Linked DNA regions of Pelodiscus sinensis. The protein of the gene in region 1 interacts with the protein of each later gene in a pairwise test. Links are inferred from orthologs where the notes say so. Each region holds a gene or a part of one and is shown in the gene's direction. Other genes may lie near its edges.

Region 1 (16,189 bases):
TCATCCATTTCCAGACAAAAGGAGGGTAGACACCATTCCTACCCTTCCTGCCTAATAGCCATTGATGGACCTAACCTCCATGAATCTATCCAACTCTTTTTGATCCCTGTTGAAGTCCTACTCTTCACCACATCCTCTGGCAAGGAGTTCCACAGGCTGACTGTGCGCTGAGTGAAGAACAACTTCCTTTTGTTTGTTTTAAACCTGCTGCCTATTAATTTCATTTGGTGACCCCTAGTTCTTATATTGTGGGAATAAGTAAATAACCCTTCCTTATTCACTTTTTCGACACCAGTTATGATTTTATAGACCTCTATCATATCCCCACTTAGTGTCCTCTTTTCTACGATGAAAAGTCCAAGTCTTTTTAATCTCTCTTCATATGGGATCCGTTCCAAACCCCTAATTATTTTTGTTGCCCTTCTTTGAACCTTTTCCAATGCCAATATATCTTTTTTGAGAAGAGATGAAAACCAATCAGGACTGTGTGTGTTCAAAGTTCTACAGACATTCTCTAAGTAGTGTTCTTTTCTTTCACATGATATTGGCAAAAAAAAGTTAAAATCCCATTACCTCCTCAGATTTAAATGCTCAAATCTGTTAAGGCATAAGCCATAGTACTAAATAAAGGTTTTTCTGTATATCTACCTGCTCCCCTTCATGTACACTGTGATAGGACAGCTGATATAAAAAAAAAATTGCAAATTACAAGTATTTCTGCACTCTCCCAGAAATGATTGAATAGTTTTTTAATTCCTTCTACACCTAGGCTACATCTACACTGGCATGATTTTGCACAAGAACTCTTTTGCGGAAGAGTTCTTGTGCAAAAACTCTTCCAGAAGAGAGCGTCTACACTATCATGTGCCTTTGTGCAAGAGATGTGCTTTTGCACAAGAGCATCCATGCCAGTGTAGATGCTCTCTTGCTCAAGAAAGCTCTGATGGCCATTTTAACCATAGTGTTTTCTTGCGCAAGAAATTCATGTTGCCTGTCTACACTGGCCTCTTGCAAAAGAACAGTTGAGCAAGAGGGCTTATTCCTCAGTGGGAGCATCATAATTCTTGCACAAGAAGCACTGATTTCATACATTAGAACGTCAGTGTTCTTGCGCAAGAACTCACAGCCAGTGTAGACAGGCAGCAAGTTTTTGTGCATAAGTGACTGCTTTTGCACAAGATCACGCCAATGTAGACACAGCCCTAGAGCTCTTATTTATCATTGTTGACTTAATTCTGTCCTTAGACAGACCAGGTGTCTGCCCCACATTGGCCCTACCAAGAATTAAATTCAGCCCTCAGAAAGGGCTGGGCCTGCAGAGCAACCATCTAAAGCATATAGCAGCCAAATAGGGCCCAGCTGGGACTCTATAAATAGGGGCTCCTGGAGTGGCAGAGAGAATGCTCTTGGAGTAGAGCAGGAGGGACCTGGCTGCTAGGGAAATTACAGAGGCTTCCTGAGACAGACTAGTGCTGGGGAAGAGCAGGCAAACTCTCAGGCTGAGGCATTGCTCTCAAGGCCTGAGAGTATTGGGGCTGCAGTGAGATAGCCAGGGAAGCAGAAGGCTGCGAGTCCATCCTTTGCCAAGGATGAGTGGCCATTTCATACTGTAGTTTACCCCTGGGAAGGGTTGCCAGGTGTCCGGTATTGACCTGGACAGTCCGATATTTTCGCCTCCTGTTTGGTAAAAAAATTCAGAAAATACCAGGCTACTGAAATGTCCAGTATTTTCTGATTTTTTTTCCCAGCCAGGAGGCGAAAATACCAGATACCTAGCAACCTTACAACACACTCGGCAACTGGGCCCAGCCCCCAACCCTCTCTCCTGCCCCCCCCCCCCCCCCCCGGTTCCGCAGGGAAGCTGCGTTCAGTCTCCATCAAGAAAACAAAATGGCCACTGGCAAAAAGCCTAAAGAACTGAAGGAAGGGGAAGCAATGCCTTCCTTGGGTCTTAGTGCTCAACCGCTCCATTCTTGCTATCCCTACTCTGACTCTGCATGCACTTAAAGCTGTTTTAATGCTGTTTCATTTTTTCATTTTTTGTTTGCTCAACAACTTTGGTCTCCGCCTTTTTTTCCCCCTCAACAGAATTTTTTCCCTGGTGGGTTTTTTTTGGGGGGCGGAGGGTATTTTTGGTTACACTATCTGGCAACCCTGCCCGTGGGGCAGGGGTTAGATAATGACTGGCAGTGGGTCATTGAGGCAAGGTGGATATGGGGGTTTGGGGTTCCCTGGGAGGGGAAGACCCCAGAGTGCAGGGGCACTGCCACAGAGCAGTATCGTGAGGGAACGGCACTGTGGGCCAGGAGGAACATGGGGCCTGCTGTAACTGAAGACAGATAATGGAGGATGAGACACTGCTCAACAGGGGGCACTCTGAGAGTGAAGAGCTAATTCCCAAGGAGACCAGGAGGATGTGCCATGGCAGTGAGTCTGACCTCATTGTACCTTGTTGGTTTTGAACTGATTTTCATTTCTTACTAGCAGTCAGGCAGGGCAGGTATTATAGGACCTTTTGTAGGATAGTACTGTATTTCTTGGATACCTGAAGTTGCCTGTGCATTCGTCTCATGCCTCATAAGGCAAACGAAGTATGCAGCTCTATGGAAATGAAGTGCCTGTTATGTCTTATTAGTATTGTTTAAATATACACTGCAACAAATCATGTTTTCAAATCACTTTTTTTTCTTATTGCTTATGTACCAGACTGAACACACTAGACAGTGATTGTCTCATTCTCTACAGAACAGGGATGGGATGGGCAAGGCAGTTGAAGCAGAAGGTTCTCTCCCTTAACATGCTTAAAATATTGCTCTGGGGAAACAACCTTTAGAAATGAGGGGAAAATCCAATCCCCTGGTTACACTCTGCTCTCAATTGTACTGCTGACTTCAGTGGACTTACTCCAGATTTACACTGGTGAACTAGAATCTAGAACTAGTCGACTGTGTCAATTCAGTAATTAGACAGACTCTATGTTTATTCTGTGCCTGTGGAGACTGACCACAACAATGCTAATTGTAATGCTGCTTTTTAAGATGTGGATTGTGTCCCCTGAAATACAAAGCAGACACAAAACTCACTGTGAACTTCAGCTTCCCAGAAGATGGGCCCACTGCTTCTCAGTCCTCAACGATGGTAGACTGTTAGCAGAGATGTAAGTATTTAGTGCCTGGCGTGAGCAAGCAAATTTGTGTGTCATTTTTCCACCCAAAGAAAAAATATTGGGGGTCATGTGATCTCCTGATTTTTCTGGCTGTGCCTACTCCATCCTCCACCCCGCAAACAGACCCGTTGAGGTGAATCAAGGGACCTTGCCTCTGTTTCCATCCCATTTTCCTGCCAAGATTCTGTTCTCTGTTTGCAGCTCAGACTGCTGGCATTGCTGGTGGTACTTCATTTTCTGCTATTTTTTACCTACCTATGTCAGCAGTGGCTGATATTTTTTATCAAGTAGTAAAACGAAGTGAAGCTTTTAATTCAGTTTGTACCTTTCAAACATGCATAATTTAAAAAAAAAATCCAAGCATTTGATAAACATTTTTTATTTGCATCAAAAGGATATTTTTCTTTTAACAAATGAACAATGACTGTCAGTAAGATAAAACATAGTCCCCTTATCACTGTAAAAGGGAAGCTTCAGAAAATTTTCAAAATTAGCCTAGGAAAAGAAACCTGTCACAATTTACTAGCTTTCTTGTTTTCAGGTTAGACTCACCTTATTGCATGAAGCTGGAGTGGGTGCACTCAATAGGTAAGAGATATCAAACTCATTCTGTCCTGAGGGCCAAATGACATTTTCAGTGGAATCAGTGGTCAGTGTTACAAACATAAAAGGCATGTTCTGTACTTGTTCCATGCAGAATCCTGATGGCTTTCCTTCTGCATCCCCATCTGTTGGTAAGGGAATGTCATTTTACACCAAATTCATCTGCAAAATTAAACTGTCCGAAATACTCATCAGTATTGCTTTGCAGCCAGCTTCCATCTGCTGTAGTGCTGTGTCAATTGCTATTGCTGGCAGCAGTCCACAATGACAATGGAATGGTAAATTGATGTGGGGACGGAATTAATACATTGACTGGGCTGCATCCAGCCTGCAGGCCACATGTTTATCATCCTTGCCATAGACTCATTTCACAGAGTGAACTTGAATGAAAATGCTGAAGTCAAAGCCACTGAGCCATGAGAAATATAAAGTTATTAAGTGTAGATCTGATGGAACTGCTGAATGGAAGTATTTTGGGAAAAAGAGTAATGTAATTCTGGGAAAGAACAGGTGGAGTGAATCTGATATCAAACTAATGAGTTACAGAGAATGGGAACAAAAGACTAATGGGAAAGGATCCAGCAAATAGCAGTACTTTGATGGGCTCTTTTCTTCCAACTGCATGAAAGAGACTGAGAAGAAGAGACAAAATTAAGAAATCATTGGGGAGGACAAGTTTAAGTTGCTTTATTTGTCCAGAATTTATCTTCATCCCAAGAAGTCAATATAAGTAGTTGCTTAGATAAGTCAAAGATTTGGCCCAAGGCATTTAGCCTTTGTAAATGCCAAATTAAATAACAATGCTATCCATCCTTCAAACAACAAAAACCTGCACAAGCCCCCCAAAAATCAATTTTGAGGAATTTATTAAGCTTTGAATGAGCTTTTGGCGTCTGGAACAAGATGGCATTTATACTGGACTGTAATTTCAGTAGGCTTAGTGTTTCAACAAGTGCCAGAGGACAAAAGGAGCACAAGGACTAATTTAAAGTACTGTATTACCATTAAATGCCATATCCTTCTCCTTCCATTATTCCCCTCCCCCCTGAACCATCAGAGAGTATAGAGAAGATTAAGCTTCAGGAGCCTCCATTTCAGTGTTTTTTTTTCTCTCCTTTAATCAAGCCTGCATGGTTTATGAATTCCCAGAACAATTTTTTAAAGTGAGCTTTTGTTTACCCAATATTTTTTCCACAGTTACCAGCTACAACAGGGCTACTCAACTTTTAAAGCCCCGGAGGGCCGCAACTTAAATGTGGTTGCATATATATGCACATTTACCTGTAAATATATGCAAATAGCTTCTTTCACACTGACAGGCTTGAATACAAAGATTAAGCTTAAGCAGGGGCGCTGGACCCAAATATGGCCAGTATAAGTCAGTCAGCACCTCTCAGGCTTTTCCCACAAGGCTAAGCAGCCAGCACGTCCCACAATGCCTCGGTGTTCCGGACACCTCTGCTCTGGGGGCTAGAAACTCCAATACCCTGCACCCATCTGTTCCAGCCAGTCCGTCTGATTGAGTCTTTCAATGCTCACCCCGCCTGGGAGATGCCTTGCCGTTGTGGAGCGTATTCCCAGGGAGGCCATGTTCAAAGAATCCTCCCCGTGGGCCATGTGTTGAGCCCCATGTAAACCCAAACCATATTTCAGGCTGCAAATAAACTGGCCGCGGGCTACATGTGGCCCGCAGGCAGCGTGTTGAGTAATCCTGAGCTGCAATAATAAAAAATGCTCTGTTTTAAATATTATCTGTCCAGATAACTACACAAGTTGCTGTGTTCTTCAGTGACCATCATAGAACAAACCCCATTAATACGCATCAGCTGGTTCTGAATTTCAATACTGAAACACTGCACCAGAAGTCAGAAATAGGGGGTAATAAATATCAGAAGAAAATATAAAGCTACTTTGAGAGAGAAATTTAAAAAATGTAAAAATCCTAGTCCTGTACAAAGGCATGTATCTTAAATACATGTTATTTTTACATTGGAATTCCTATATAAGCAAACAAGTAACAGAGCCTACTTATGTCATTCTGTTGTTTATCTCAAAAAGTGAACCAATAGAGCCCCCTAGCTGCTACTGGAAGCAATTCACACTCCTACAATAAAACAATACATAGACATGAATAATGCAAACAGTGATAGTAAGCAAACGAACATGTTTTATAACAAATATACAAGAGGAACAGTAGAGATGGTGACGTGTTAAATATTGGTTCATATGTAAATGAAATGTACATGCAAGAGAATCAACATTTATCTAGACACAGAACATCTGAGTACTTCCTAAACTGAAAAATGTGAGACTTTATTCCCAATATGCACAAATAGTTTAATCTTTTGAAGCACCTGTTGACTAGACAGTTACTTTAAAATAACCATGATACAAACACAAATCTGCCTACTTTACTGTTTGCAATAAAGAGTTATTCATAAAGCTAATAGGGGATATTATAGCTAGAAGGGTCAAACCACTTTTTGTACGATTTAAGAAGATATAATGTTAACATAAATTATGAGCTAAAATAGAAATGATTACCTAACAACAATGGACAAACTCCACAGCCGGTTCTCATCAGTGTGGCACACTTGATGATTACCTGTTCTGTTCATTTCTTTGAAGCCCCTGGCATTATCCACTGTCATCAGACACAATATTGACCTAGATGCCCCTTTTGTCTTACCCAATATAGTTGTTCTTATGTTACATGTTCTTTGACTCAGAAGATTTACTGCTTTAGAATCAATTCATCTTTGACAATTTACATTATTTTTGCCCTTGCTTCAGGCTAGCTAGTTCATTCACTTTCAGTCCTGAGGTTTTGTTTCCCTATTTAGGTCCTGGTGAGTGTCTGCTTCCTACTTACACTTCTCTGCTCAGAAACTTCTCCTCAGTTGGAATGCTTCTTTAAAAAAAAACAAACACAAAGCTTCCTTCAAATCTTTCCTCCTTTCTACCTGCCTCATACAAATACAGTAGAATCTCAAAGTTACAACCACCAGAGTTATGAACTGACTGGACAACCACAGACGTCACCTGGAACCAAGAGTATGCAATCAAACAGTAGTGCAGACAAAAACAATATTGCACTGTACTGTTAAGTGTGAACTACTAAAAACAATAAAGGGAAAATAAAGATTTGGCAAGGTAAGAAAACTGTTTCTGTGCTTATTTAATTTAAAGGAAAATGGTTAACAGCAGTGTTTTTTTCCTGCACATTTCAAAGCTATATTAAGTTAATATTTAGCTGTAAACTTTTGAAAGAACAACCATAACACTTTGTTCAGAGTTACAAACAACCTAACTCAGGTTCTACTGTACGAATGCTCTGCCAGCAACTACTTAGCCTAAACCAATTCTCAACAACCATTCTCCTTGTAGTAGCTCTCCAGTCATACCAGAATCTGGATCCTATTGCTGTACTAGGCGGAGCCAACATCCATGCCTGGCTCCTGGGTAAAGAAGGAGGGGGACAGCAATGCGCTCCCAGAAAGAGCAGGGCCTAAGGCAGAAGGGACGGGGTTGAGGGCAGCAGGGCCTCAATGCCACACAGACCAAAGCACCCAGAGTGCACTGCGCACTGCTCAGGCAGCAATTTAAAGGGCTCAAGCTCCAAGTACAGCAGTGGCTCCCTAAGCCCCTTTGAATCACCTCTCCTTCAACCCTCTGTTGGGAGGTCTGGTATTACGGGACATCTGGCAGCAGATTCCCTGCAACTGCTGCTTATTTCTCTATTCAGAGATGCCAAATGTCAGTTGAAGCCAAACAAGCCTGTTGTCAGATAGCAGAACCACTTAAGGAAACAAAGTTAATTTTTCACCGTACTTAAAAATAATACTACCTTACTGCCTAGACACCGCCTAAGTTTGAAAAGTTTTATTAGAGTTAAGAGAACTAACCACACTAATTAAAAAATGTATATTCAGATTAATGAGCTTCTGGTACTAAGTTGATTTTCTCCAGAGCTAATAAACACGTTAATGTGAAATAGAAAACCATGCCAAAACTCTAAAAGACAAATCAGTCTCTTGAACACAAAGCCCACACTCTGTGCTTAATCTTTTATAGTTCAGTGCTTAAAAACTATTACATTCTTTTGCCTACGGGGCAAAAGCTCACTCCAGTGTTACTTCAGTCTTTGGAGTTACACCAAGAATGAATCTGGCTTATAGTGGGCACATTTCTGCATACTTCAGATACAAAAGTGAACTACAAATGTAAAATCAACTGCTGAGTGTCACATACAAGAAGTTCTCTTGCAGATGCATATACAAATGTCTCCACCACAAGACCCCCGCTATCTACCACTGTCTTTCCATCCAACCCCTACTTTACCTTCTCCCTCTTTACAACCACCAGTCTCCCCTTTCCAACCACCTCTACCGCTGAGCTTCTCTTTTCCCACCCCTCAACCCACCTTCGTCCTTCTCCTCTAACTTCAGGCTTCCCCATCTGATGTGCTGGCTGTGAGGCTCCTCCTTAGCTCCAGAAACTGCTCCTGAGGGGCTGTTTCTCCAGCCACCAGTCGGGAGACAGGAACTGAGGCAGCCAGGCAGGGACAGGTGAGGGAGGTGGGAGGGACCGGGCACAAGGCCACTGCTAAAGGGGGAGGAGTCAGGCAGGCTCAGGGAAGGGCTCCCTAAACCCTGTGTGAGGGGCCCTCTGAAGTGGTGAATAATCCCCCCAGGGATGAGAAAATAACCCCAAGCCCTGCCCCCCCAAGAGACAGAAATGAGCCTGGACTCCCTGTTCCAGCAAATCCTCCTCACGGAGCAGCAAGCGGAAGAGAAGCGGCGCCTCATGCACCAAGGTCAGCCACACGGCCGCCATCTTGTGCCTGGTGCAGGGGGACGGCCACAGGTGCCTGTGGCCACATGACGCCCAAAAAGCCCTGAGTGGCAGTAGGGGTGGTGTTTTCAAGGGCAGCAAGGTCAGTAAAGGCTGACTGAGCCTTTCCCCTGGAGTTTTAGACTCCTAGGGTATGTCTAGACTACATGGCTCCGTCAACAGAGCCATGTAGATGAGTTCACTAGACATAGGAAAATGAAGCGGCGATTTAAATAATCGCCGTTTCATTTACATCAAAATGGCCGCCGCACTGAGTTTGGCGGCACAGTGCGGTAGTCTGGATGCTCCGCCGTTGACAACGGAAGCCTTTGTCGACTGCTCCGTTATGCCTTGTGGAACGAGGTTTACCGGAGCGGTCGACAAAGGCTTATTATTTAAATCGCCACTTCATTTTCCTATGTCTAGTGAACTCATCTACATGGCTCTGTCGATGGAGCCATGTAGTCTAGACATACCCCTAGATTGTAAGGCCAGAAGCGACCTTCAGAGAGTGTAGTCCAATTGGGTTACCTTAGGGTCAGTGCCAGTACAACAGGTATCCCCCTCTGGCAGGGCTCTGGGGAAATGGGCTGGGCATTTCCATACATCCCCGCCAAGTGTCTCCTGGCCCTGCCTGCCGGCCTGCATGCTCCCCCTCCCCCTGCCATCCCCTGGTAATTTAACGCCCGCAGAAGTCCCCAGTGTCACCACTGGTAGCACAGGGGCTAGTGTGTCTTCTGTCTGCTAGCTCTCTGCCACTGCCATATGGCCATGGGGAGGTGTGTGCAGCACCACGCCATCCATAGGATGGTTTGGGATGGCCACCCCAAGCCTCGCACTTCATGGGGTGCCATAGTGGCTTCCCAAGCCGTCCTATGGATGAGAGGGGGTCCCTCATATTCAAGGTAGTCTGTGGGACCCTGGACAGGCTGGAGCTTGAAGGAGGAGTCGGGCCATCCCACACTCATCACAGTGGCAGGAGCTGCAGGGAAACAGAGCAAGGAAGCAGACTGGTCTGCTCCACCTCCCTCTCCCAAGCCACCCTGCACTGGGGCTGGGATGCTGTACTTCCCACTGCCATAGTGAAGCAGAGTGACCGGGTTGCCCTGGGAAATGGTGACAGAGCAGAGTAGATGCAGCTACATCACTCTGCTTCCCTGCAGCTCCCACCACTGCAGTGAGTACAGTGGGGAGGGGTGGAAGGAGGCCACTACTGCTGCCCCACAGCAGGCCTACTAGTAATGCTTGAGGCTGCATCCCTTGGGGAAGGGTACTTGAGGGAAGAGTTAAGATGGGAGGGAAAAGAGCAGAGCAGGGCTGGAAAGAGGTGGGATGGAGGTGGAGCAAGGGCTGGACTTGGGGGAAGAGCTGCACCACCCAGATGGCCACAGGGACTCATGTGCCAGCAGCTGTGCATAGGGCAAATTGTGGAACAGCTTGGGCTGCAGATGGCCCATGGGCCATGAGTTTGAGACCCCTAGTCTAGACCTGTGTTTCTCAACCTTTATTTTATAAAGTACCCCTTTTTTAAAAAAATAATAATTATAAGTACCCCCTTTTTTGAAAAAAAAATTATAAATACCCCCAGTACCTACAATTTTCAGACACACAACATTTTTTTCTACCATTGCAACACCTTTGTTTAAACAGCTTAATCATAGCCGAATGGGCGATGACATTTTTGGGTGTAAAAAGTACAAAAATAATAAAGCACTGTAAAACTTAAAACAAAAATTCAATTTTCTCCAAATTTCATTTGTGTTGATGTACGCCCCAGACTTCTCTCGAGTACCCATAAGGGTACTCATACCATTGGTTGAGAAACACTGATCTAGCCAGACCTGGCCTAGCCAGGCCACCAATTTACCCTGTTACTCCTGTATTGAGACCAATAACTTGAGTTCCTGCCTTCCGCACCTCAGGCCCTGCCTCTACAGATTGATAAGCTATATCTTCCAGAAAGCTGTCCAGTATTGATATTCACTTATATAACCCTATGGGTTTTGCATAACCACATCAAGGTTCATGCCTCTGGGCCTTTAGTTTTACTGTCATGTCCCTAAAAGTCTCTGTCTGACCTGCATATATAGCAGTTAACCCTGGCTTGTGTCTGATGCTCAGCAGGTGGAATTGTTATTGTTCAGATATAATCACTGAGAGGTTATGCTGAAATGTCACTGTCATCAAATATTATGAAAGGTTATCAATATAAACAGAACAAGGCTAGAAGAAGCATTAAAAATCAGTCGGAGCAAAATCCTCCCTTGACAATAGCAAGGTTGTCGATACTACCTAGACACTCTACAAGCAAAGGAGAATATACAGTGGGATCATTTTCATAAAAGAGCAAAGATTCCTCTTTCAATCATTATAGTGAATTCGATATGGATTTGGGGCAGTCCTACAATAGACACACGTGGGTTGGCTTTGGAAGAGCCTATCACTCTTCTCCCGTGAAGGAATACAGCAGATCAGGCTTGGATCATTCTCTCACACAGCCTTACCAACACATAATTATTTTTCACGAGACTCACAATATTTGTTAAAGCGGTGAGGAGTCCTGTGGCACCTTATTGACTAACTGAAGTGTTGGAGCATAAGCTTACGTAGGCAAAGACCCACTTCGTCAGATACATGTAGTGGAAATTTCCAGAGGCAGGTATAAATATGCAGGCCAGAATCAGGCTGGAGATGACAAGGTTGATCCAATCAGGGAGGATGAGGCCCACTTCTAGTAGCTGAACTGTTGGGTGTGAATTCCAAGAGAGGAGAAACTGCTTTTGTAGTTAGCAAGCCATTCACAGTCTTTGTTTAATCCAGAGTTGATTGTGTTGACACGAAAGCTTATGCTCCAACACTTCAGTTAGTCTATAAGGTGCCACAGGACTCCTCAACGCTTTTGCAGATTCAGACTAACACGGCTACTCCTCTGATACTTGACAATATTTGTTGTTATTCCTAAAGCCCCAATTCTTGGAATCATGTTGTTATTACAAGTCAGAGTGAGTGTGTGTGTGTGTGTGTGTTTTCCTCCCCACCCTTTCCCTCCCCACCCCGCATGGTAGAAACATGAAAAACAAACCCCAAGACTCAGAAGGCAAATAAAAAAGGTCCATTATTTTTATTAACCATTTGCTGATTTTCAAACCGACTTCATAATATTGGGGGTGGCTAAATCATGAATTTTTGAATGCTTGATTCTGGCAATCCTGCAGTCCAGACCAGGGGTGGGGAACCTCCAGCCACAGGCTGCATGCAGTTTGTCAGGGATAGCTGCTGGCAGGTCTCCAGATGGCTTGTTTACCTGAGCATCTGCAGGCATAGAGCCCTGCAGCTCCCAGTGGCCACAATTCATTGTCCCTGGCCAACAGGAGCTTCAGGGAATGGTGGCCCAGCTCATACCACTTTCTGCAGCCACAATTGGCTGAGGCAGGTGAACCATGGTGACTGGGAGCGGCAAGCAGCAGTGCAGCCAGGATGCCAGAAGACCCCCACCCCTGGTCTAGACCTATAGTTTGAACTTTACAAAATCTGCTTTCAGGACATGTAGTTTCCTGAGTGCAGTGGGAACTTTAAGGAAGCTTGTCCAGGATAACACAGAAAAAACACTTTAGAAGATACAGTAATTCCTCATTTAACACTATAGATATGTTTCAGTAAATGATCGTATTAAGTGAAAACGTGTTATGCGGGGTCAATTTTTCCATTGAAAATAATGGAAAAGGTGGGGGTTGCGTTTCAAGCGGTGGTGTCTGTTGGGACCGGGGCATAAGGTTGTGGGAGACAGGGGACTGTGTTACAGCAGGGAGGGGAGGTGTTTGGCTCTGGGGAATGAGAGGGGAGGGGGATTGGGTTGGGAGTATGCCCCTGTGATGGGTCTGCCAGGAACCACACTGTGTCTGGCAAGGGGGGGTTGCCAGGAAATGGCATGTAAGCAGCGAACCCTCCGCCACTTTGCACGGAGGCAGGGGAAGCCCCACGCAGCCACTGGCAATGGGCTGGCTGGGGAAACCCAGCCGCTGGCCTGCCAGTGGGGGCAGAGGAGAGGGGGCAAGGCGTCCAGTAAGGGGGAGTCAGCAGGGAACGGTGCAGCGAACCCTCCACCGCTTTGCAGGGAGTCGGGGGAAGCCCCACGCAGCCGCCAGCAATAGGGCGGCTGGGGGAATCGTGTTATTCCAGGGACGGTCGTGTAATTCAAAAAATGTTCCCTAAAAAAAAAAATTGTGCTATCGCAAAAACATGTTAAGCGGGCACGTGTTAAATGAGGAATTACTGTATAGAAACAGAACCCCAGTATTTTGTCACCCTGCTACTTATTTTAAAAAGTAAGTCATGGTGTAATCAAAGTATCAACAAGGTACTTACTATACAGCATAACAGATGACCCTTACTTTAAATCAAATTTTCAAAGCCTGCTATCTGAATTATCTATGCAGATGCCATGCTTGTCCACATGAAAATAGTAATTAGATACTGTTTGTTCACAAAAGAAGGTCGATCACTTTAAAGTAACTGCTGACAGTGACTGTAACTGTTACAGGCAAATCCATGTGATTAGAAGTCTAGCAATTACAGGCAGTCCCCGGGTTACGTACAAGATAGGGACTGTAGGTTTGTTCTTAAGTTGAATCTGTATGTAAGTCGGAACTGGCGTCCAGATTCAGCCGCTGCTGAAACTGATCAGTTTCAACAGCGGCTGAATCTGGACGCCAGTTCCGACTTACATACAGATTCAACTTAAGAACCCCAGGCATCCCCAAGTCAGCTGCTGCTGAAACTGATCAGCGGCTGATTCCAGGAAGCCTGGGGCAGGGGCTTCCTGTAGTCAGCCACTGGTCAGTTTCAGCAGCGGCTGACTTGGGGACGCCTGGGGCAGAGCAGCTGGGGTGCTGCTGGGTTGGTCCAGTAGCGCCGCCGCTCCTCGGCGCTACTGGACCAACCCAGCAGCACCCAAGCTGCTCTGCCCCAGGCGTCCTGATTCAGCCGCTGCTGAATCTGACCAGCAGTGGCTGAATAAGGACGCCTGGGGCAGAACAGCTGGGGTGCTGCCCGGTTGGTCCAGTAGCGCCCAGAGCGGCGCTACGGGACCAACTGGCAGCTCCCCAGCTGCTGTACCACAGGTGTCTGGAGCAAAGCCACGGAGCACGGGGGCAGCGGGACAGCCCAGATGCGTCTGGGCTGTCAGCTGGCAGCGCGCTCCGCGGCTTTGCTCTGCTTTGCCCCCCCCCCCTCCTCCTGGTCTGCAGACCAGGGTGTTGGGGGGGGGGCAAAGCAGAGCCAAGCCGCGGAGCGCGCTGCCAGCTGACAGCCCAGACGCGTCTGGGCTGTCAGCTGACCACGCGCTCCGCGGCTTGGCTCTGCTTTGCCCCCCCCCTTCCCCTGGTCTGCAGACCAGGGGGACGGGGGAGGGGGGGGCAAAGCAGAGCCAAGCTGCGGAGCGCCCGGCCATCTGACAGCCCAGACGCGTCTGGGCTGTCAGCTGATCGCGCGCTCCGCGGCTTGGCTCTGCTTTGCCCCCCCCGTCCCCCTGGTCTGCAGACCAGGGGGACGGGGGGGGGGGGCAAAGCCAAGTCAAGCCTCGGAGCGCGTGGGCAGCGGACAGCCCTGTCCGCTGCCCACATGTTCCGCCGCTTTGCTTCCTCTCCCTGGTCTGCTGGAGACCAGGAAGAGGAACCCCGTTCGTAACTGCGGATCCGACATAAGTCGGATCCGCGTAACTCGGGGACTGCCTGTACATGTCTCTATTGAAATCATCTGTTTACACCAGCAGTGCACAATCATTTTTGATGGGGGGGGCGGGGAATCCAAGATTTTTGTAAGTGGGCAAGGGCTGCACTTTTCTATGGAGGAGGTGTGGCATCTGGGATGGGCATTGAGTGCAGAAAGAAGCTTGGGGTGCAGGAGAGAGTGTGGAGTTTGAGAGGGAGTTAGGGTGAAGGAGGGGGTTGTAATCTAAGGCAGGGATTTGAGTTGTAGGGTCTGGGACGGAGTATGGATGAAGGAGAGGATTCTGGCCTGGGGGAGGGTTGTAGGAAAGGGTGCAAGGTTTCGGAGGGAATTGTGACATAGGGGAGGGCGATGCAGAGGGTTTGGATGATGATCTGGAGCAGGAGCGGGATTGGTAACCTGGGGCAGGATTTTGGAGAAGCCAGCAGCAGGCTGTCGCTGGGAGGCGCTTACCTAAGCACCTCCCAGCCAGCAGCCCTGCAGGATCCTGAGGCAAGCTCCCTGTCTTCCATAGCTGCAGGCTGTTCAAAATGGTTGACTGCTCCCTGTAGCTCTCTACTCTGGGCACTGAGGGGAGGAGAAGACTTCGCACCCGCTCCCCTTCCCCCCCAGAAAAATCTCTCAGCTCCCATTGACTGCTTTCCATGAAGCCTCCCCCTCCCTCATGGTGACCAGACCAGAGAGCCACAGGGCAGAGCAAGCACTTAAAGTGGCATGGGCTGCTCTGTGCCTGAGGATCCCGGCAGGACAGCCTGTGGGCCAGATCGGACAGCCCACAGGTTGGATCCAGTGGCTCGGCAGACTGGATTCAGCCCGCCCCAGTCTACACCACTCTATCTTGCCTGCAGCAATTTTTTTAACAGAATCTCACTTTCAAAAGTTGATTTAATGTGACTGAAGGTTCATTTTTTTATTGCAGTTAAATTAGACATAAACAGAAGTCATGAAAAAATTAAGGAAATAAAAGAAGAGCTGAATGAAGCAAAAATAAAATTAGACACTAAGGTAGAGTAGTAATATTTATGCTATGTCAATTATTATTACAGGTAAATGGGCTGTAATTTTAATATATTGTTTATGTACATTTTGAAGCAGTATACATCATGCAGTGTTTATATTCATTGTCATAGTGATTGTCTAATGTATGTATGTCTAGAGTGCTCATCACCGTAGCATCTGAACACTTGCTACCTGCGGATTATGCATCATGCCCCCTTTAACTTTTACTGCCAGACTCCTATTTTTATCAACACTTATTCATTTGATGAAAGGAAATAATGATTTGGTGGTGATACCTATCTCTCCAAAAACATTGGCTGCTCTGTGGATTGCAAGTTTATATGTTCTATATATGTACTTCGGTGCTACTGTGATGGGTGCGAAAGAAAACCCTAAATTAGATTAAGGTATGTTAGAGAAAAAAAACAATCCACAAAATTGTTTACAAATATTCACTAGTTACAAACTGAGATCTTGATTCTGCAGTTTCACACATGCATACAAGTAGCCCTGTGGCAAAGGGTTAACTCAAAGACTAGCAAAAATATATAGAATCATGAGCTTTTGTAGCTAATTAAGTGGGCTGGCTGTGTCCTAGTCATAGCTTTTGGTGTGAAAATGAGGATACTGAAGGACTGAAATGTAAAACAGTTGCTGTACATGAAAGGTCACATGCAGTCCTAATTGATTCTACAGGTTGTACCTCCCAAAACCGGAATTATCTAGTCTGGCAACATATGTGGTCCCTGGATCAGAGAACTCCAGTAGCCTAGTGGCAGGAGGGTAACCCAGGAGAATCTGGTCTGAGGCAGTGGGATGGGACTGGGACTGGTGGCAGTCCACAGGAGTGGGGCTGGAGCC
Region 2 (16,595 bases), about 40 Mb from region 1:
ATTAATGGTTCTCAATCCTGCTGGAAAGGTATAACAAGTGGGGTTTCGCAGGGGTTTGTTTTGAGATCGGCTCTGTTCAATATCTTAATCAACGATTTAGATATTAGCATAGAAAGTACTCTTATTAAGTATGCAGATGATACCATGCTGGTAGGGGTTGCAACTGCTCTGGAGGATAGGGTCATAATTCAAAAATGATCTGGACAAATTGGAGAAATGGTCTGAGGTAAACAGGATGAAGTTTAATAAAGACAAATGCAAAGTACTCCACTTAGGAAGGAACACTCAGTTTCACACATACAGAATGGGAAGCGACTGTCTAGGAAGGAGTATGGCAGAAAGGGATCTAGGAGTAATAGTGGACCACAAGTTAAATATGAGTCAACAGTGTGATGCTGTTGCAAAACAAGCAAACATGATTCTGGGATGCATTAACAGGTGTGTTGTGAGCAAGACATGAGAAGTCATTCTTCCGCTCTACTCTGCACTGGTTAGGCCTCATTTGGAGTATTGTGTCCAGTTCTGGGCACCACATTTCAAGAAAGATGTGGAGAAATTAGGGTATGTCTACACTACAGCACTAATTCGAAGTAACTTAGTTCGAATTAGTTAATTTGAACTAAGCTAATTCAAATTAGCGCATCTAGACTTAAAAAGTAGTTCGAATTAGCATTTTGCTAATTCGAACTAGCATGTCCACACTAAGTGGACCCTGAACAGAGGTTAAGGATGGCCGGAAGCAGTGCCGGCAGGGCATCAGATTAGGACTTAGAGCGTGGAGCTGTGGTCTCAGGCTAGTTGAGGGCTGTGCTTAAAGGGACCCGACCCCCACCCTGGACAGACAGTTCTCAAGGGTTCCCCACTAGCAAAGCAGTCCTGGCTTGGAGTGCTCTGAGTGCCCACACTCGGCACATCACAGCACTCGGCCATCAGCCCGGCTGCACTTGCCGCAGGCTGCCATCCGGAGGGGGGGGGTCAATCAAGGGGCTGCAGGAGAGCTTCCACCCTGAGGAGCCCGCAGAGCCAGCCCAGTCCTCCCCATCAGGGGCTCGAACCCCATTCCTCCCTCACCTCCTTCCACTTACCCCTCCCTAGCCCCCCTTCCTGATGTACAAAATAAAGGACACGTGTGTTCAAAAATAGAAACTCTCTTTCTTGAACAAAACTTGGGGAGACTGGGAAAAGGAGATGGGAGAGGGGAAGAGAGAGGGTGGGAGAGGGGAGGGCAACTAAAATGATCAGGGGTTTGGAACAGGTCCCATATGAAGAGAGGCTAAAGAGACTGGGACTTCTCAGCTTAAAAAAGAGGAGACTGAGGGGGGATATGATAGAGGTCTATAAAAGCATGAGTGGTGTGGAGAGGGTGCATAAAGAAAAGTTCTTCATTAGTTCCCATAATATAAGGACTAAAGGACACCAAATGAAATGAATGGGTAGCAGGCTTCAAACTAATAACAGAAAGTTGTTCTTCACAAAGCAAATAGTCAACCTGTGGAACTCCTTGCTGCAGGAGGCTGTGAAGGCTAGAATTAGAACAGAGTTTAAAGAGAAGTGAGATAAAGTGATGGAGGTTGGTTCCATGGAGTGGTATTAGCCAGGGGGTAGAAATGGTGTCCCTGGCCTCTGTTTGTGGAAGGCTGGAGATGGATGGCACGAGACAAATGGCTTGGTAATTGTCTTCGGTCCATCCCCTCCAGGGTACCTAGTGTTGGCCGCTGTTGGTAGACAGGCTACTGGGCTAGATGGACCTTTGGTCTGACCCAGTATGGCCATTCTAAGCTCAGGGCTCAGGGTTGGTGGTCTCAGTGGACCACCTTGATTTTCATGCATACCTGCTCCTGGGTGACCAGGTTGGCAGCTGTCCTGCCCTAGACAGCCACTTTCCTGTGCCTAGTGCAGTGGTCGTGGATGAGGTCCACAATGTCTGCACTAGACCAGGCAGGCGCCCACCTCTTACGGACCTGGGCAGGCTCCCAGGAGCCACCAGCCTGGTCCCAGGAAGAGGCGGAGGGCTGGGTGGCCGCGGGTGGCCAGGCTTGCACCTGGCACGGGTACCTTAGCCAGACCGTGCCCCTTTAAGGGCTCCGGGGCCGGGAAGGGGGCAGACGAGTCTCCCTGGTGGTGCCCAGAGTGGCCACCAAGGAAAGCTGGGGAGGGCTAGCCTCCCACTAGTTCGAATTAAGTGGCTACACAGCCCTTAATTCGAACTAATTAATTCGAACTAGGCGTTAGTCCTCGTAGAATGAGGTTTACCTAGTTCGAATTAAGCGCTCCGCTAGTTCGAATTAAGTTCGAACTAGCGGTTTGCATGTGTAGCGCCTATCAATGTTAATTTGAACTAACATCTGTTAGTTCGAATTAACTTTGTAGTGTAGACATACCCCTAGAGAGGGTCCAGAGAAGAGCAACAATAATGATTAAAAGGCTAAAGAAGGAAGGCTGAAAGAATTGGGTTTGTTTAGTTTAGAAAAGAAAAGACTGAAGGGGGACATGATAGCAGTTTTCAGGTATCTAAAAGGGTGTCATGAGGATAAGGGAGAAAACTTGTTCATCTTGGCCTCTGAGGATAGAACAAGAAGCAATGGGCTTATACTGTAGGAAGAGTGGTTTAGGTTGGACATTAGGAAAAAGTTCCTAACTGTCAGAGTGGTCAAACACTGGAATAAATTGCCCAGGGAGGTTGTGGAATCTCCATCTCTGGAGATATTTAAGAGTAGGTTACATAAATGTCTATCAGGGATGGTCTAGTCAATATTTGGTCCTGCCATGAGAGCAGGGGAGTGGACTCAATGATCTCTCAAGGTCCCTTCCAGTCGTAATATTCTATGATTCTATGATTTGACAAAAATATATGGAGTGTAGAAATTTGTCTAGAGCCTGAAAGGAATGAAACACAGACAAAATGCTACTTGCAGTTAACAAGATGAATTTTAATTACTTTTAAAGTTGAAGTTATTAAAATTCAAGTCTTTAATTCTGTGCTTAAATTCTGATCTGCATATATAGGGGCAGTACCTTTTCTCAGACTTGAGAATGATGAGAGGTACCGGGGCTTTTTTATATGTTGCAGTGAAATATACCTGACACTGAGATTTTTAATACACTATGGCTACGTCTACACTACAAGGTTTTTGCACAAAAACCCACAAGTGCATTTTTACACAAGAAAATCTACAGTCAATCGACAGAACAGAGGGCTTTTTGCGGCGTAGGTATACTTCCTTCTACAAGGCATAACTCCTTTTTGAGCTACAGCTCTTGCACAAAAAGGCATGTGTGGACGCTCCACAGGAGTTTCTTGCTCAAAATGAGCCTATCCGAAAAAGCACAGGTGCTCTGATGGCCAATCTGTGAATGGCCTTCAGAGCTTTCTTGCGCAAGAGCGTCCATGCAGTGTGGATGCTCTCTTGCACAAAAGGAGTAAAAGGTCCATGAGGTGTGGACATGCTTTTGTGCAAGCAGTTTTTGCGCCAGAACTCTTCTGCAAAATACTTCTTGCACAAAAACCTGCAGTGTAAACATAGCCTGAATATCACTGTATGTAACATTTCAGACCAAAACAGTTCAATTTTATATACTGAAAATTGGGACGTATGGGTAAGATTGTGACTGGCCGTAGAAGGGTCTAGTGGAGAATAAAGTCCCTGATGTTTTAGGTGGTCATGTTAGTGTTCCCCTTCTTGAGATTTCCGTTAGGAGGGGGAAAGGGAAGAAGAACAAGAGCTGTGTGCCTGGTATGCTTCTTCCCAGAGCAAATGGGTGGAAGGCCCAGAGAAATGGATAGAGTCAGCAGAGAGCCAAGACCAGTGGGAAGGTGGAGATTAGTTATTTCCATCCAGGAACAAGGGGTGAACAGGGAAGGAATTGTGAACCCATGAATTAGTCCCTTTCTACAGCAGTGCCTGTGGACAGTGCAGCATTACCAGTCCAACCCGAACTCTAGCCATGACTCAATTAGCAATCCAGTTTTCATTAGAATCTAGAAATGTGGGACTGGGAGCCCGGAAGATGCAAGCATCATACGCTTTCCCCAAATGCTCAACACTGATGTCTGTTAACTGACCCTTGTGGTCCACCAGGGCCTGCAGCACCATCAGAAAGTACCCCTTCCTGTTGACATAGTCCGAGGCATGGTGGTCAAGGGCCAGGATGGGAATATGAGTGCTGCCTATGCCTCCCCTGTCCCCACAGTTGGAAAAGCCCATGGCAGCAAAGCCATTGACGATGGTGTTGACATTGTGCAAACAATCCTCTGCAGTGCCACATTATTGATGGCCTTGGCTACCTGCAGGAATATGGCCCCAACTATGGATTTCCCCACACACAACTGGTTCCTGTCAAAGTGGTAGGTGTCTGGTGTGGTGAGCTTCCACAGGGCGATGGCGACGCGGTTCTGCAGGGGGATGGTGGGTCAGTCAGGTGTTCTGTCACCTGAGGGTAGGGGCGAGCCACTTGCAGAGCTCCAGGAAGTGGTCTTCTTCATACAGAAGTTCTGGAGCTGCTGCTTGTCATCCCATCACTGCAGGATGATGTGGTCCCATCAGTTGGAACTTCTCTCCCACTGCCAGAAGTGGCATTCTGTTGTGTGCAGGGGATTGAGGGTCATTTGTAGCAGTAGGAGCACCAGGACCTGGGTGAACAGGTGAGGCTGGTAGTCATCCTGTTGGAGCGGCACGTGGGCAGTCTAGATGAACTATGCCATGAGGCACAGCACGAGGCCTGTGAGCCTGGCACTGCTTTGTCAGTGCTGTTGTCGGTGCTGTGGCATCTGCAAGGGCAACCAGAGCACACCACATGAGTTTGGTGTCCCATGAGAAGGTGGCAGAGGAGCAGAGGGATGTGAAATGGGGCTGTAGAAAGGAGCCCTTAAAAGTATGTGTCTCAGCTTGCCTGACCCAGCAGCCACAGGAAGCATCCGCTCTTCTGTTGCACTCCCCAGAGTGCTTCTGGGGGCTCCACGTCTGTGGCAGGCTCCAATCAGTATAGGCGCACTGTTCTGAAATACTTCTGAGCTATTTTGATGCTCCCCCATAGTGTGGATGCGTTATTTTAATTTTGTTATTTCGGGAGTTATTTCTATTTTAATTATTTCAATATTATTTCCTAATGTAGTCATGCCCCTTGTCTAGGCCCCTGCACTAAAGCAAACCTAAGCATTATCTAGACCATCCCTGACAGTTGTTTGTCTAACCAAGTGCTTAATTCAGTCCAGGACTTGACAGCACTGGGCTTTGAAACCTCTAGGCTTGACAATTTTAAGCCCCAGCACTTCTGGGTTTTGCATCAGTAATGAATGTAAATAATTTGCTCAAGCACTGGAACCTCTTTCATTGCAAATGAAGCATTGTCCAGTCCTCAGTGGAGCTAAAGGACAATATATCCCCCTCCTTTTTATAACAACTTTTAAGACTTGAGGACTGTTATCATGCCACCATTTCCCATTGGTCTTCCCTTTTCTCCCAACTAAGCAAACCGAGTTTTTTCAATCTGTTTTTAGGCCCTGTGTTCTAGATCTTTTTAATCATTTCTCGAACTTGTCCAAGTTTTTCTCGTGGGCTACATCTAGACTGGCCCCTTCTCCAGAAGAGGCATGCAAAGCAGGCAAGTCAGAATAGGGAAATCCGCGGGGGATTTAAATATCCCCCAAGGGATTTAAATAAACATGGCCACCGCTTTTTTTCCGGCTTGGGGAAAAGCCGGAAAAGAGCGTCTAGACTGGCACGATCCTCCGGAATAAAGCCCTTTTCCGGAGGATCTCTTATTCCTACTTGCAAGGAATGTTTATTTAAATCCCTCGGGGGATATTTAAATCCCCCGCGGATTTCCCTATTCTGACTTGCCTGCTTTGCATGCCTCTTCCGGAGAAGGAGCCAGTCTAGACGTAGCCAAGGTGTGTTTCCTAGACTGGACATAATACTCGAGTTAAGGCCTTGAATAGAGTGAAAAAAATACTTTTTATATCTTGCTTACAAACAGTTCTGCATCCCAGAACAGTGTGAGCTTTTTTTTGGCACATTGTTATTTTGTTGACTTATATTTACTTTGTGATCCACTAGAATCCCCAGGTTCTGCAGTACGTTTTTCTGGACAGTCATTTGCATTTGTATTTGTCTAATTGATTATTCCTTCTCAAGTGTAGTACTTTACATTTATCCTTATTGAATGTCATCCTATTTATTTCAGACCATTTCTCCAGTTTATCAGGATCAGTGTTTCTCAACCAGTGGTACGGGTACCCTTAGAGGTACTCAAGAGAAGTCGGGGGAGGAGAGGGGGCGGAGGGATACATGAAAACAACTGAAATTTTGAGAAAACTGAATTTTTGTTTTAAGTTGTACAGCACTTTATTATTTTTGTACTTTTTATTCCCAAAAATTTCATCGCCTGCCCAGCTACAATTAAGTGGTATAAACAAATGTGTTGCAATGGTGGAAAAAAAATTGTGTGTGTCTGAAAACTGTAGGTATTGGGGGTATTTATTTATGATTTATTTTGTAAAAAGGGTACTTTATAAAAAAAAAGGTTGAGAAACATTGGTCAAGATCATTTTGAATTATAATCCCATCTTTGAAAACATTTGCAACCCCTACCAGCTTGGTATCCTCCAGAAAGTTTGAACACATACTTTTTATGCCACTATCTGAATCATTTCTGAAGATATTGCATACAATTGGACCCAAGACAGATCACTATCAGAGCACACTTGATATGCCCTTCCAGCTTGACTGTGAACCATTGATAATTGCTCTCTGCGTATCGTTTTCCAACCAGTTGTGCACCCACTTTATAGCATGTCTTCTCTTCTGTGTATTTATTAATGTGGCTCTGTTTTAAACAAAACAATGCCAAATTATTTTTACAGTACTGCTTTTGGCATGGAGAGTCTGTCCAGAAACAGTGACTAAAAGTATCATCAGCCAAAAAAAAAAATGAAATTAAGCATGCAAATGAGTCATAAACAAATGAAAAATAGAAAGTGATTTAATCATAGGCGTTTGACATTAACATTAACATGATTAATTTAAACAGTTTGATGGTGCCTTTCAAGACATGGATTTTCCCCCTCCTAATTCCTGTGAATACTATGCTTCTTGGCTACATCTACACTGGCCCCTAATTCCGGAAAAGTCATGCAAAGCAGGTAAGTCAGAATAGGGAAATCCGCGAGGGATTTAAATATCCCCCGCGGATTTAAATAAACATGTCCGCCACTTTTTTTCCGGCTTGGGGAAAAGCCGGAAAAAAGCATCTAGACTGGCGCGATCCTCCGGAATAAAGCCCTTTTCCGGAGGATCTCTTATTCCTACTTTCAAGTAGGAGGGATACTTTCAAGTAGGAATAAGAGATCCTCCGGAAAAGGGCTTTATTCCGGAGGATCGCGCCAGTCTAGATGCTTTTTTCCGGCTTTTCCCAAAGCCGGAAAAAAAGCGGCGGACATGTTTATTTAAATCCCTTGGGGGATATTTAAATCCCCCGCGGATTTCCCTATTCTGACTTACCTGCTTTGCATGACTTTCCGGAATTAGGGGCCAGTGTAGACGTAGCCCTTGTGAATATTGCTCAGAGCTCCATATTAAGGCCAAATTCTACCCTAAATAGTAGCATTTTATTTCAGTGGATTTACAGAGATTGTGAAGTAGCCAGCAATCATCCTCATGCGTGTGTAAGAATGCAGAGGTTATTCTTACCAGACCATTCTGTGCTCATTCTCTCAAGTTATAAGACATTTTCAGCATGTATGAGAAGTACTTTGATCTGATTTTTCAGCTCACCCAAGGCTTTTCTCTTATTGATGCAACATGGTGTCCATTAAGTAATGGCTCCCCTATTGAATTATGGTTCAAATACCAGCAGTACTGTCAGCACCAAGGCAAAAATCAAGAGTCAAGCCTCCAAACACCAACAGATTAGCCTGAGAATTGGGATTATTTATTTTAAATTAGATTTTTAAAATATTGCATTTTATTTTTTTTATTTGCCTTTTGCGACTCAGTTTGGCATCTTACAGCACTAGCTTAAGGACACAGTTGCTTCACATTTTCAAACTTTTCTCTAGAAACAAGTGGCCTAGAAACCAACTTTAAAAAAATTAAAGCTGAGACCCTTTTGCAACTCCTTAATTCCAATATCTGGGGTCCTTAAGAAAACATCCAAATGCCATGAGCCTTGTGATTTAATCATGAGTCATAACACTTTAGTGATTAGTCATCGAAGGCCATGTCTGCATTGTAGACTTCAGTCAACACAAGTTATAGTGACATATAGCCCCAGTTAGTTTATCACTTGAGCTCACGCATACTTGGTTCCTTGAACTGGCACTATGTACTCTCCAAGCCCTGGTCTACACTAGCGCTTTATTTCAAAATAACACCCCCTTCTGTTGAATTTATAAATGGACCATCCACCCTACCAAGCCTGTAATTTCAAAAATTGTGTTATTGCTTATTTCAAAGTCTGCAGTCCTGCTTTCCTCAGGAATAATGCTAATTTCAAAATAGTTATTTCAAAATAGTGGTAGTGTGAACACTCTGGTGCCACTATTTTGAAATAACTACTCCCCAGGGTAATTCAAACTAATTACTCGCCAGTGGTTCCTGGGCTCCAAGTCAAGGTAGTATGTCCTCATTAATGGTGCCTGCCTCAGACTAATTTTGAGGCTTCTCTGTAGTGGAGACAAGCTATTTTGATTTTGTAAAATTTGGAGTTAAGTTGAATTTAGTTATTTAAAAATAGTTTCTTAGTGTACACATGTCCCAAGAGTGCTTGTGTCGATGCAGAGCAGATACAATGGTAAGTATTCCCATGTGCAAGCTGCCAGCTCACTGTCTTTTAGGAATTTTTGGTAATGCCTAGGGATGGATATGAGGAGGGGGAAGAAATGAACCATGAGAAGTGATTGGGAGTAAGCAGTCAACTTTCCAGCATGCAGTTGTACCCATCCTATAATGTCAGTTCTATTACATAATTTTAAAAAAATCCTAGGAACCCCCTTGCTATCTGCCATCAGTACTAGAAACATCTAGCCTGAACATCTTTGCCCTACTGTGGAAAAAGTTGCAAACACAGAATGCATAATCCTCCATTATTTGCAGTGCAGTAGGAAGAACAGAATCACCAGGGAACATGCTGATTTCTTGGAGTCCAGATTGCTGTGGGATGTAGTGACCAATTCAAGGTTATTGGTTGAGTGCATGGAACAGCTACAGATGATGGAGTACAGGTTCTGGAACTAAAAAATGAGCATTGATTGGTTGGATTGCATCATAATGCCGATTTGGGGTGACATGTAATAGCTATGGAACTTCTGGGTGCAGAGTCCACATTCCTGCAGCTGCGCAGTAGATCGAAGTTATCTGGATGTCAATAAGATATTTGATACAGTTCCACATGGGATATGATGAGTTAAATGAAAGAAAATGGGGATTAGTATGAAAATTGAAAGGTGGATAAGGAACTAGTTGAATGGGAGACTACAAAGGGTCATACTAAAAAAAGTGAAATGTCAGGCTAATGGAGTTCCTCAGGTCTCTATCTTGGGACAGGTCTTATTTAACATTTTCATTAATGATCTTGGTGTGAATGTGCACTAATAACATTTTCAGATGATACAATGTTATAGCTAGTATGATATAGTCAAGATCATGAAAATTGGAATTACATTTAATGATGTGTGTGAGGTCATGCACTTAGGTACTTATGACAAGAATTTTTGCTATAAACTTTTTTTTGCTATAAATTTTTGCTATTCCTACTTTCAAGTAGGAATAAGGGATCTTCCGGAAAAGGGCTTATTTTCCGGAAAATCGCGTCTACACTGGCTCTTTTCTCCGGCAAAAACCCCAAGCTGGAAAAAAGCAGCAGCCATAGAAATGCAAATGCCGCGGGGTATATTTAAATCCCCCGCGGATTTGCAATTCCGAAGTGTCTCAATAGCATCCCTTTTCCGGAAAGGGATGCCAATGTACACATAGCCCTAGTGAAATAGTTCTTCCTAATATCCAACCTGGACCTCTCCCACCACACCTTGAGACCATTGCTCCTTGTTCTGCCATCTTTTACTACTAGAACAGCCTTTCTCCATCATCTTTGGAACCTCCCTTCAGGAAGTTGAAGGCTGCTATCAAATCCCCCCTCACTCTTCACTTCTGTAGACTAAACAGACCCAAGTCCCTCAGCCTCTCCTCATAAGTCATATGCTCCAGCCCCCTAATCATTTTGGTTTCCCTCCGCTGGACCCTCTCCAATGCATCCACATTCTTTTTGTAGTGGGGGGCCCAGAAATGGACACAATACTCCAGATATGGCCTCACCAGAGCGGAATAAAGGGGAATAATGACATCTTTGGATATGCTGGCAATGCTCCTCTGAATGCAACTTAATATGCCATTAGCCTTCTTGGCTACAAGGGCACACTGTTGACTCATATCCAGCTTCTCATCCACTATAACCCCCAGGTCCTTTTCTGCAGAACTACTACTTAGCTGGTTGGTCCCAGCCTGTAACAATGCTTGGGATTCTTCTGTCCCAAGTGCAGGACTCTGTGCTTGTCCTTGTTGAACCTCATCAGATTTCTTGTGGCCCAATCCTCCAATTTGTCTAAGTCACTCTGGACCCTATCTCTCCCCCTAGCTTAGTGTCATCTGCAAACTTGCTGAGGGTGCAATCCATCCCCTCATCCAACTCATTAATAAAGATATTGAACAAAACCGGTCCTAGAACCAAACCTTGAGGCACTCCTGTAGAAACCGACCGCCATCCTGACATTGAGCCGTTGATCACTACCCACTGGGCCCGGCCTTCTAGCCAGCTTTCTATCCATCTTACCATCCATTTCTCCAATCCACATTCCCTTAACTTGCTGGCAAGAATATTGTGGGAGACCGTATCAAAAGCCTTGCTAAAGTCAAGATATATCACATCCACTGTGGACTTTCCCTTGTCCACAGAGCCAGTTACCTCATCATAGAAGCTAATCAGATTGGTCAGTAACAGTAGTTCGAATTAGGATCTTTAATTCGAACTACCTACTCCGTGCTGCGGGCACGGAGTTCGGACTAAGGGGGATTTAAAAATGACGGCGCCCGGGAACATGCAAATGAAGCCCGGGATATTTAAATCCCAGGCTTCATTTGCCACTCCGCTTGCTTAATTACCCTACCTAGCTCGAACTATCGAGCTAGTGTGGACGTAACCTCGGCGACATCACCTGCACAACCACCGGTCAAAGGGTGATGTCCTGGAATAGCCTTCTATGGGGAGCAGTGGGTTCACAAAGCCTAACTGGTTTCAAAGCTGCATCTGGGAAGTATGGAGAGGGGATGGTGTGATGAGATTGCCTGTAATGTCACATGGACTATCTGCAACTGCTGGTAGCAGATATCTCCCCAGTAGCCCGAGATGGGACACTAGACAGTGAAGCTCTGAGTTTATGAAGAGGATTCCTTTCCAGGTGTCTGGCTGCTGGGTCTCACCTCTACCCTCAAAGTCTAATTAATCACTTTGTATAAGGTCAGGAAGGAATTTTCACCCAGGTCAGATTAGAAGGGACCCTAGGTTTAATTTGCCTTCCTCCGGCACTGAGGCATGGGTCACTACTACTTTGAGCTGGTGTAAATAGTTGATTTTCTGTCATTTGAAGTCTTTAGAGCATTTTTTGAGGACTTCAGTAACTCAGCTAGAGGTCAGGCATTTATGGGTATGTCTACACTGCAGAGTTTTTTTGGAAAAACTTCACTTACGTCCATGCTGCAATCACATTCTTAAAAAAAATCAAAAGAACAGAGGGGTTTTTCCAACAAGAGCTCTTTTGGAAAAAGGCATGTGTGGATGAGGAAGAGAGAGTTCTTTTGAAAGAAGAGGAAAGAGGAAAAAATTTAAGTGTCCTGGTGGCCGCTCCATTGATAGTAATCACAGTTGAAATGTGGGATATAGTCCATTCAGTCTGGACACTCTCTTTCACTTTTTCGATGCGCTTTTGCGGTGTAGACGCTCTCTTTCAGAGGAATTTTTTCCGAAAGATCTCTTCCAGAAAAGCTTCTTCTGAAAGAAGCCTGCAATCTAGACAAAGCCTATGACAGGAGTGGGTGGGTGAGATTCTGTTGCCTGTGACATGCCAAATGTCAGATGAGATGATCACAATGGTTCCTTCTTCAAGTTTGAATCTACAGAACAGTATGCATAGTGTGAGTGAGCTCAGGAGAGACAAGAATAAGAGACAATGTCAATGTTGTCTGAGGGGAGGGGTATTCTAACTGCCTTGTCGTGGTGTGACTTTAGATTCACGCTAAGGATGCTTGAACTCTGCTCTTACACCATTCTAGCACAGGCTGCTTCAGTGGATAGGATGCCCCGCCTCCGAATCTCTGCTTGGTTTCTTGCTGTAGTTTATGCAGTGCCATTGTCACACACATCAAGAATGCTCAGAATACTCCATTCTTTGGGAAAACATGTAGCAGCAGGAATATTTTCTTCTATTGTCAGATGATCTAGCAGTCTATTTACTAGATTCTTCATTTGCAAGTAGACAGGGAACTCCGGACTATCTCAGTATCAGCATATTTGATTGTATCCTTATTTGACCCTTTATAGATTTATAAAGCTAGATTTGCCAACACTGTACTACAGGATTATTTTGGATTTTACAGAAGCAATTTCTTTGCTGCTCATTTAAAAATTCTTTGCTAATTTAGCAGCCCTTCCTTCCAATTCAAATTAATTTTTTTTTCACAGCTTCCCTTGGAGTTTGTGCTATCAGCATAATCTGTGAGAGACAACTGAAGAAAAGTCTCATGAGAACCTTAATTGATCATCTCTATTTCAAGTAGTAAATACAGCATAGCACATATTAAGTAAATTGTGAATACTCAAATGTTTAAAGAATCTGAATGCCAAACACTTGGCTCGATGTGCTAGAAGCTCCAGTTGTTATTTAACAATATAGTTGTAACTGCAAAGGTGTGTCACCCATTTTTGAGAATCTCCTGGTTTCCTGTGTTCATATATTGAAAGCACTGCTGGATAGGCTTTGTGGTTGTGAGAGTTGCAGGGCTAATCCCCATGGTTCTTTGATTATGAGCATGTGCAGAGCAGCCCAGCGTACGGTATGTGTATGTAGAGCTAACACAGAGATTTGCCTTGCAATGCCATGTTTGTGTTTGTGTTCCAGCAACTGAAAAGCTTTTAGAGAGACTGATTTATTGAGTATCTGATGTTTTCTTGTTTCTGTTTCAGCATTCAGGATCATTCCTTCAACAGTACAGCTTTAGCAGAGTAAGTGAATACTTTAAATACATACCTTTACCATTAAATAAGAATGATGTGTTAAACGGTGCAGAGAATATTTTCCGATGCTATTTCAAAAATAAAAAAGCTTTCTGTAACATTTTATGATGCACTCTGTGGTTTTACTATTTTATTGAAAATATGCTGAATATGATGTAACAGCAATATTTATGTATAGTTAACCATGAGCAATGGAGTAGCATCATGAAAGAATATCTTTGTTGCTGCTTTCTGCTTTATATATATCTAAATGTGTTTGAACATATGATTGTATTGTACATCTAATGAGAAAATGTTGCTAATTCTTTTTATTGATGATCATGACAAGCTAATGTGTCATTTTCCTAAGAGCACATATTCTATTCTTACTGTCAGCACTGGCAGAAAAAAAATCTTTAAGAATATTTTGAGCAAAATACTATATTATTTAGACAGGATCAGTACCCGAATGCAGTTTCCCTCTGCAATTAAAGCGGTACAACTTTTTACCAGGACTTTTGCCCACTTGATTTTAAATAAATATGTTTTGCCTTTTTATCTTAAGATGAACAGATAGCAGAACAGTAGAAAACATTGTAAAGTTACAAACACTGGGATGCCACTAACAATTTAAAAATGGAATATACTTCTGGTTTCCTTTAGACTAGAGAAACATGCTTTAATTTCAGATGTGACTATTCTACATTATTTATTGACATCAGTACAGCTCTCTTTGGCTCTGAAAATTACATATCATGATTGTGTCTGTGTTTCATAGGTGTTTTATCTCCAAAATTTCACACACTGGATTATATTTTAGAAGACTGCTCAGCTGAATTTTGGCCAGTGCTTGTCAAAAGGGAGATGTTTTAAGATTAGTTTCCGTATAAATTACATTTCACATTGCTGAAATGCTAGGAATAAAAAGCCTAAGTTGATTGTGAACTGTTTGCTAAAGTATTGCAGGGAAAATTATGTACTCTGAAAGCAGTCTAGGTTGTAGCTCAGTATGAGCAATCCAAACGTTCTGTCAAACTGCAAATGGAAAATGGATGGAATATTTCTCTGGGATTCCAAACACCTTTTAACCTCCTATATACTTCTCCTACTTTGCTTCATCTATTAATTTTGTCCCTGGTTTTGGAGTGCTACAGTAACCAGCATGAAATTAAATACAAAAAAAAAACAGAAAATGATTTTATTATTTTTCATTAGCTTTGCCACTATACAGCTCCGCCTTTAATGCTGTATTGTGGGCGATGGGATCTAAAATGAAGGACAAAATGTGGGATTTTACAAATGAGGTGCATAGTAAGACATCACATTTTTAATACTTTTCCCTCTCCTTCCCAACCTCAGTCCCTCGTTGGTTCCTTTCTCTTCCTCAGCCTCACTGGAGTTTCTCCTGCCAGATCTGTGCTCATCCCTGCCTTTCCCTTGGTTGTATTGCTAGGGCCAGTGGTGCGGGGCTTTCTCTGCCAGGCTTCCTGTCACGCTACTGGACCTTTTGTTGTTTTTTAAGTTTGTCACTCTAAGGACAGGAGGGGAAGCATTGCAGAGGGCCCTTATAGTGCTAGCACTGCCAGTAGGGAAAAGGAGGGGCAGAATATGTGCCTAGAAGTCATTGCAGGGCTGTGTCTACACTGGGCCACTTATTCCGGAAAATCAGCCGCTTTTCGAGCTGTCTACACTGGCCCTTGAATTTCCGGAAAAGCAACGATGCTATACTGTACAAAATCAACCGCTATTCCGGAAAAACTATTCTGCTCCTACTCCGGCATAAGTCCTTATTCCGGAACACTGTTCTGGAAAAGGGCCAGTGTAGACAGCCCAGTAGTCTTTTCCGGAAAAAAGCCCCGATCGCGAAAATGGCAATTGGGGCTCTTTTCTGGAAAAGCGCATCTACATTGGCCACAGACGCTTTTCCAGAAAAAGGGATTTTCCGGAAAAGCAGCCTGCCAATGTAGACGCTCCTTTTCTGGAAAAACTGAAAACGGAATAGTATTCCGTTTTAAGCAGTTCCGGAAATTCATGCCAGTGTAGACGTAGCCCAGCAGTAGTTGGCAGAGAGTGTAATTGCAGATCCTTGGTCCAAAGTCCTCTGAGAAATGGGATATCCCTCATCCTGTGGGGCATGTGAGAAGTTTGCTAGCTGCACATCAGGAACAGAACCATGTTTTCACACTGAATTTGGCTTTCTCCTTATTTTAATAGGTTTATAAATGCTGGGGGCTAGAAAAATGTTTGAAAAGCCCTGTTTGGGCTCAAATTGTCAAACAAGGGTGCTAAAGTTAGTTGTTATCCTTAGTTAGCCACTGAAATAAAAGTATCAGGGGTGCTGAAAACACACAGCTCCTATTGACGTCACTACAAACTGTTCATACTGTGCACTTCTGAAAATGAAGTCTCTTTTATTTAGCAGTCTAAATGGGGATCTAGCTACCTAACTTTGGGCATCCAGTTTTGACCTTACATTCTGAAGCACAATTCTATTGCCAAGGCGCAGATGCTGTAGAATAATACAATGCACAGGACCTTGATATAAATTTTACTTTTTTCTTAGGGACCTTTCTCCAGATAAGCCAGGCATCCAAGTGGTCAGGCTCCTGGTGTGTCATATGTGCATCTGGTGCATGAGAAGTTATTGTTTTTATGCATGTCTTAAAGGTCATAGTTCCAAAATAGATGCAGCTTTCCATGTGCTCAGAAAGGTTTCCTATCTGAGACAAAGAAGGAGCAACTCACAATACATCCACTAAATCCCACATTCTCTAGAAAACATTCATAGGAATTGCCATATCAGATCAGATCTGTCTGTCTGATGTACTCTCCTGTCTCGAGCATCTAGTACTCTGTGATTCCAATGAAGATCATTAATGGAATAGCCCACCGCTAATGGACTTCTCCCTGCTCTTTAAAAAGTAATCCTGTATAGCATAACAGTAGGTCTTTTCACAATCCATATAGTGCAATGCGCCAATCCTTTTTAAAATCCTGCGAGGATCTTAGCCTCAAGCAATAGCTTGTGGCACTGCATTTCACAAATTCATCGGGTACTTTATTTTTAAAATTTCCTATGATCAGTTTTAAATTTGATTCCTTTTAATATCATTACTCCCTTGTTTCTATGAGCTGAGTAACTAGAAACATCCAAATGTCTACTCACTATTTTGTATACTTCTATACTGCCCCCATCATTAACAGTCCACCTCATATAATGTTCTCCTCAGTGTCTGATAATTCTGTTTTTATTTATCACTTCAGACAATCATGTGGTGCTGCAGTAAGGGTCAGTGCTCTGTAGTTCTCTGGATCACCGCAGAGCAAACCCAGTG

Evidence for each region.
Region 2: the proteins of CCDC172 (region 1) and FAM13C interact in binary tests that used the Homo sapiens proteins (3 or more experiments, as listed by UniProt). The two-hybrid records come from large-scale screens. The link is inferred for Pelodiscus sinensis from reciprocal best matches to the Homo sapiens genes CCDC172 and FAM13C.

The regions. Positions count from the first base shown.
Region 1 is NC_134718.1:61,626,762-61,642,950, reverse strand, and holds the start of CCDC172 (coiled-coil domain-containing protein 172), read left to right. Parts: upstream 1-8,377; 5' UTR 8,378-8,506; coding exon 8,507-8,585; intron 8,586-15,248; coding exon 15,249-15,334; intron 15,335-16,189.
Region 2 is NC_134718.1:21,953,974-21,970,568, reverse strand, and holds the start of FAM13C (protein FAM13C), read left to right. Parts: upstream 1-9,338; 5' UTR 9,339-9,416; coding exon 9,417-9,442; intron 9,443-13,230; coding exon 13,231-13,269; intron 13,270-16,595.